Linked DNA regions of Danio rerio. The protein of the gene in region 1 purifies or fractionates together with the protein of each later gene. This does not show direct contact. Links are inferred from orthologs where the notes say so. Each region holds a gene or a part of one and is shown in the gene's direction. Other genes may lie near its edges. The genes, in order: ift140 and wdr19.

The links.
Region 2: the proteins of ift140 (region 1) and wdr19 purify together in Homo sapiens (co-immunoprecipitation; 3 studies listed by BioGRID and IntAct, with this or other methods). This does not show direct contact. The link is inferred for Danio rerio from reciprocal best matches to the Homo sapiens genes IFT140 and WDR19.

Annotation. Positions count from the first base shown.
Region 1 is NC_133199.1:41,562,993-41,566,410, forward strand, and holds the end of ift140 (intraflagellar transport protein 140 homolog), read left to right. Parts: intron 1-499; coding exon 500-641; intron 642-2,040; coding exon 2,041-2,226; 3' UTR 2,227-2,613; downstream 2,614-3,418. UniProt on the Homo sapiens protein: Component of the IFT complex A (IFT-A), a complex required for retrograde ciliary transport and entry into cilia of G protein-coupled receptors (GPCRs).
Region 2 is NC_133176.1:23,073,847-23,077,682, reverse strand, and holds part of wdr19 (WD repeat-containing protein 19), read left to right. Parts: intron 1-211; coding exon 212-289; intron 290-1,505; coding exon 1,506-1,602; intron 1,603-2,050; coding exon 2,051-2,175; intron 2,176-3,836. UniProt on the Homo sapiens protein: As component of the IFT complex A (IFT-A), a complex required for retrograde ciliary transport and entry into cilia of G protein-coupled receptors (GPCRs), it is involved in cilia function and/or assembly.

The DNA of each region.
Region 1 (3,418 bases):
TATTAAGGAGGGTTTTTTCACACATCCTCTTCCCAGGGGACTCGATGCACATGCAGGTTGCCAAATTGACAAGACAAACACTGCTTAGCTAATATTTAACTTTGAAATCTTTGTATTAATTGCTCATTAAAAACCACCTCATGGATTGTTGTAACTCTGAATCTGCGGAGGCTGCGACTGTTCTTCAGAGGTCACTTGAACAGCTGCGGCACATACATTAAGGCAGCCTTTATGCCTGAAATGAAATGTCATATAACTGAAATATAATTGGGTGAACTGGCTGTGGGCGGAACTACACAGACCAAAACAAAGACAGACATTGTGACACTGAGCGCATTTTCAAAGCAGAATAACTGACTTAAGCATTGTTTTTCAGATAAAATACCATGCTCACTTAGCATGTTTATTAAATATCTGCAAACATATCATGGTATTTTAATGCTTTAGAAGGTTCAAAACCTTGCATACAGTACCTTTAAGTGTATTTATGTAATTTTAGAATGCATGAGGAGGATCCAGTAGAAGCAGTGCGTTTGTGCGAGTCTCTGCTGGAAGAGAAGGATCTGGATCTGGCAGTGCGTGTTGGAGATGTGTACGGCTTCCTGGTGGAACACTACTGCCATCATGGCAACTTCACGCAGGTCTCTATATAATCCTAGCATGTTCTTTTTTTGTTGTTGTTGTTGTTGTCAGAATCTGTGTGCATTTGTTTTTTAAAGTATAACAAGTGGTCTCACCCTTATTAAAGATGTAGATGACTACATCAACACTGTGGGTTTATGTTAAAATTAGGACATATAGGAAAATATGTGCTTAAAAGCTTATTAATATATCCCATAAAGTTTAAAAATAAAGTCAATCTGAGCACAGATTGTGGCTATTAAACCACATGTACATTTACACTAAAGAAGTGATCTAGTCGACCCCTTCTGGAAGTGTTTGGAGGTCGACAAGCCTGTACGTCACATTAACCAACTATCCACCAAACAATTTAGTTTTTAAAAGACATCTAATAGACATACAAACTTGAGCTGCGTCCCAAATCGCATACTTATGCACTATTCTACGCCATTTTGTAGTATAAATAGTGTAAGTAGTGCGTTCACACTGAAAACTCTAAAAATAATGAGTGCACTTGAATTACCCGGTTGATGCACTCATTCAGCCGCTAAAATCAAGTGTGTAATGATGGACACTTCACACACTCAACGACCGCAGGTTTGCTTACGTAGCGGAAGGGGCGGAGCTATCGGACGCACATGTTGGATAACTTTATTTATTTTGGAATGAAAGCTAATTTCTCCTGCGAGAGTGATCATAGCGCCTCCCGTTGGTGAATGCGGTTGTACTCACGGCAGGTATTATTTGATAGTTTGCTCATTTATTTTACTGATTTGGCAACCGTCAAACGTCATCAGGGAAACGATTTGAACTTCCGCTTAGTAAAAAAAACATTAGTGTGCCATTTGGGACGCCACTACATACATATACTATCCTGTTGAGTGTGTAAGTGCATAAGTACATAGTGCATTGTGTGCCATTTGGGATGCAGCTCGATGTCTTGACTCAAATAAAGCTGAATTAGGTCTGTTAGCAAAAATGTAGTAGACGTCTAACAATAGTCCAAAACTAGACTAGTCATCAAATAGACAGATTAGACAGAGCTCGCGCAGTCATTCATCCCTAGGTATTTGATGGCTAGTCTGTTATTAGACTATTGTTAGATGTCTATTACATTTTATCTGGCAGACCAAATGTGGCATTGTTTCAGCCAAGATGTCCATATTTGAATGTCTATTAGATGTATTTTAAGCACAAAAATGCTTGCTGGGTTTAAATGCATTGACAACATCTGAAGATGCTTTCATATCTGTCTCACTTGTAGCTTTTGTTTCAGTACCTGACTTGTTTTCTGATATGTTTTTGGGTTATTTAATCTAAGAGTCTGAAAAACCCTGAAACCTAGATTAGATGTGCTTTTCACACAGATCCATTTAAAATAAAACTATAATTAAACATTGTGATTTGTGTGTTCATCAGGCATGGAGTAAAATAGAGGAATTGAGATCAACACATCCCAAAATAAACCTGAGCATGTATGTGAGTCAAACCAGTCTGGAGGCTTTACAAAATGCTGCTGGGATCCGCCTGGTCTACAAAGATACCAACACTCATGCTGCTGACGATGATGAAGAGGTGGAGGAAGATGAAAACATCAATCATTGACAACAATTCCCTCAAGATACTACATACATTTCACAAAAACTAGCCTACTAAAGTCTCACTATCAAGTCTTGGTTTACTCCTCCATTTTTCTAAAATGTGCCATGTTTCTATTGGACTGCCAGTCTAGCAGATGGGATGTTTTTGGGAGATGATGTGAGATTTTGTAAAAGCCATTTTGCAGGTTGCCTTAAGTAGAGAGTAGCTTGTTTGCGAATGCCCAGAATGCATATTTGACGTGCGAGGCCTTTCAATCAAGAATAACACGGGACCACTATATTCGAGTTTTGTACAATTTACAAACTATGTAATGACCAGACTTGTTCAACAACCTTTGTATCATATATATTGTACTTATTTTAATAAATATTTTCTATGTTTATTAAATCATATTGTGTTTTGAGTGAATTTCAATAGGTCAACATCTCTTGAAGCACAATGTCCAAATGGTTTATTCATTTTATGTATGACATGTAATGTGTTTTTAGTAACTTAAATTCAGTAAATCGCGAAAACCATTACAAAGGCGTACAGATCTTGTTGTTTGTAGGTAATCATGAAGTAATCGTCAAAGTCGGTGTCCCACACAGCCTCGAAATTAGCCAGCACTGATTGGCCAGCTTTCCCGCCTGTTACGATTTGAACTACAAACCGGTAACGGTCGAATAACTTCTTCAGGAGATCCAGTATTTTCGCTCTCAAGTTCTCTGAGACTGAACGGCAGCGGTCGTGGTCGTATTTTATCCCTTTAAATTCTTCTCTGACCAGTTCTTCACATTTCTCCCTAACCAGAAAAGGCTGGAATTTGTGCAAATGTTCCAGTTCATAATTATCCGGAACAGCTTGTTCGTCGCAAGACTCCGGTTGTCCTCCGGTGTCAGCCTCCGTGTTTCTGGTAAAATGATCCGTATCGGGAATCTTTGAACGGGACATATCTGCAAACCTTTGAATATTAAATGAATAACTTTATTCATTGACTAGTTAGGTTGTTTGTGAAAATACGATTAAATCTCACCTGACGCGAATAACGGTCGTCGCGCGTGTGCAGAAGTAGGCGAGGATCGGATTTTCAAAAATGACCAAGTATGATTGAAGCGTTTGGCGATAGTGATTCCGATTCTTTTAGTGAGTCGATTCTTTTGAACATGGTTTCACTTTCGTTTAAGTTTTCAACTTCAAGTTGGCTACGGTTTAT
Region 2 (3,836 bases), on another chromosome or scaffold:
TCCATGTATTAAGCAGGATCATGTACATTTAGGTGGTTGTTTTTGCAGAATAAAGTCTTGACATGCTTATCAGCAGTATAATGCAATGCAATGCATAGGGCTTTTGTATAAGACTGAAGGGCTTTGTTCTGTGAAAACAACTTTCTATGTGCGCATTATCTTGTAGATTGTATTGCAAGAAAGTTGACTATTATGGTGGTCTTTTTAATAGGTTGGAGAAGCTAAGGATGAATCTTTAACCAACCAGCTTATTGATCATCTGATGGGGGAAAGTGATGGAATGCCAAAGGTATTTAAAAAAAAAAAACATGAAATAGATAAATCATTAGAGCAGAGAGCTTCAAATATAAAAAAATACAGTGACGATCGGGTAATATATATATATATATATATATATATATATATATATATATATATATATATATATATATATATATATATATATATATATATATAATATTTTTTTTTGTAGTTTAATATATTATTTGGAATTTGAAAACAAAAAACAATTTCCAAGGAAATGTTAAATTTGTTTTCAACTATCTATAAATATTTTTTCTGAGTAAACAATTAATTTGCCGGAAGTGTCAGTAAAAAACTTTTACATTGTTTTAAAAAAAATCAGGTTACAGGTAAAGTTCTATTGAACTTTTAATCATCAAAGATGCCTGAATAAACATGATTTCCTCAAAATTATAGTAGTGGTGTAATTGTACTGACAAATAAAAAGGGTATTTTCATCATTCAGTATATCCATGTTCTTACGTATATATTCAGTTGATTCATGTTTTTATTGCTGAACTCAAAATTTAAAAGAACTATCCGTAAACATTTTTTCTGCTCCATAAAACTACTGGATTTCTCTTTGCTCCAGGATGCCTTGAAACAATATTTGATTAAATTACAACACACAAGAGCATTATTGTGTAGCCTCAGGCAGCTTTAAACACTGTTTTATCGTTTATTATTATATCTTTAATTCATTTTATTGTCTGTTTATCACAAATGTGTGTCCTCTTTTAAAAACCACATTCAAAACATCTGCTTCTGTTGATATTTAATTTTGTTGTTTTTGTCTGATGTGTTTCTGTTGTCATTGCACTCATCATCTCTTACTCATCTTCTCTCTCTCTCTCTCTCTCTCTTGCATGTATTTAGTCTCTCGCCGTGAGTAGTTCAGTGCATCTGCTGAAACTTCACATTGTAGTGTTCTAGCAGAAAGCACGAAATTTGTGCGTGTGTGTGTGTGTCTGTGTGCATATATGAAAGTGTGCTTGTTTCTGTATAGTTCCTTTGTTTTTATGTTTTGACTGTTTTTGTGTTGTTTTTGTTGTAGTTAATTGAACTATATGCAGTATATGCTTGAAAATGGTTTGATTCTGGTCAATACTGTAGATGTTTTGGTATATTTTATCTGATGATTCTGGTATATAGCATTAGCAGCATGAAAATCTATCAGAAAAACCATTGACTGTGTAATGTTTATTGGCTCTGTTCTTTTCTAGGATGCAAAATATCTTTTCCGGTTGTATATGGCTCTCAAACAATACAGAGAGGCAGCAAGAACTGCGATAATAATCGCCAGAGAGGAGCAATCTGCAGGTCTGATTTTAGTGCTTTTTGGATATCTATTTACTAACCAGGTTGTCGTTTGGTATTTTACACTGCAAGAAAATATTTTTTTGTCTTGTTTCTAATTAAAATATCTAAAATTTCTTAAATCAAGAAGCATTTTTTAGACAAGCAAAACATATTGTCTTGTTTTAAGATGTATGTCAAAATTTAAGAGATTTTTTACTTAACACAAGCTAAATAATCTGCCAATCTTATGTCAGCATGAAAAATAAGATTATTTTACTTACCACATTGGCAGATTATTTAGCTTGTTTTAAGGAAAAACTCACTTCATTTTGCAATGTAGAGCATTTTGTGCCTTTACATACAGTAACTGCAAAGACCAAACAGTGCAGTAACCATTTTAAAAATTGTGTATTGTCAGGGAATTCCCATCCTGGGTTTTTGTGACGTACATGTTATGTCTGTATTGTAGGAAACTACCGGAATGCCCATGATGTTTTGTTCAGCATGTACGCTGAGCTTCAGACGCAGCACATTAAAATCCCCGCAGAGATGGCCACAAACCTGATGATCCTGCACAGCTACATATTAGTGAAGGTGAGAAACACCATCAATCATTATTAGTAGCAAAACAATTGAAAAAAATGTTAAGGTCACTACATTTAATATTTCAATTATTACTTTATATATTAATTGTCATATGCTAGATAAAAAATGAAAAATATTTTTATTGGGTATTTCATAAATATGATAAATTGCTGGCGTCACAGTGGAACAATGGGTCGCACAATCGCCTCAAAGCAAAAAGGCACTGGTTCAAGCCCCAGCTGGGTCAGTTGGCATTTTTGTGTAAAGTGCAAGTTGTCCCTGTGTTGGTGTGGGTTTCCTCCGGGTGCTTCAGCTTCCCCCACAGTCCAAAGACATGCGGTATAAGTGAATTGAATACACTAAATTGACCGTAGTATATATGTGTGACTGCAAGAAGGTCTGGGTGTTTCCCAGTTTTGAGTTGTGGCTGGAAGGACAGCCGCTGTGTAAAACATAAAGTATGCTGGATAAGTTGGCGGTTGATTCCGCTGTGGCAGTTGATCCGCTGTGGCGACCCCTGATTAAGAAATGGACTAAGCCGAAAAGAAAATGTATGAATGAATGACTATTGATAACAAAAAGTGTTTCTTGACCAGCAAATTAGATTATTGGAATGAATTGAGAATATTGGAACAGATCATGTGACACTAGAGATTACTGGCCGCTAAAAATTTTGCTTTACATTACAAAAGTAATGTACTTTTTATACATTTAAGTTATACTGTAATATAATAATAATAATAATAATAATTAATAATAAGAATAAGAAGAATCAGGGTTTTCATGCTTCTTGAAAGTATTTAAAAGTACTTACATTTTTAGACTTTTTTTAAAATCCTGACAAATGAAGCACATTTTATCAATATTTCATAAACCATATTTGAATATCACCATTATTAAATTCAACAAATTTCATTTAAGTTCTCTGAACATGACCTTTAAAAGGTTTTAAAAAGGGTCTAAATTTTTAAGGGCGAGTGAAATGTTAAGTAGACCAGAGGTTACCAAACCTTTCAATTCGTGACCCCCAAAATAACAATACCAGTGACTCGCGAGCCGCAAGATCCTCTGAGGTGGTTATACTGTAAATATGTAAACCCTGCACACAACAGTGCACACCTACCAATAGGCCTAAGTCTACTCTTTGTTTAATTTTGGAGAATGCCACTCGAAGACCATCATCTATGTTTAGTTGTGGCTTGAATTTATCATTATTATTTTTTATATGTGCATTTCTTGTTTATATATATGGGTGCTGTAAAGGTGTCCGAAAGTTTAACCTGTTGCTATAAAATCAATCTGCTGCATCTGATGCTATAGCTGTGTCTTTAATTTAACGTAATCCCCCCAGGGGTCGCAAAGAAATCGAAAGGCTCATGGCTTTTTATTAACTATTTTTATGTAACTATTAATTCTTTTTCTTCTGTAGGTCAATTGTACTGGTTTAACCTGCTAGACTGAACTCACTTTTGGAGATTTTAGCTCACCCCAGTGAGGTACAAACAACAATGATTAGGTATCATTGGAAAGAAGACACTTTGAGCTTTACTATGGTCCATCTGGAAAGTTCCATGCTCAAAAATATAAAAAGTTATACAGTATGTCATTAGAAAGAATATTTTTACTGTGTTCAATATTTGTTTTTCCATATACAGACACAGGAAAGCATT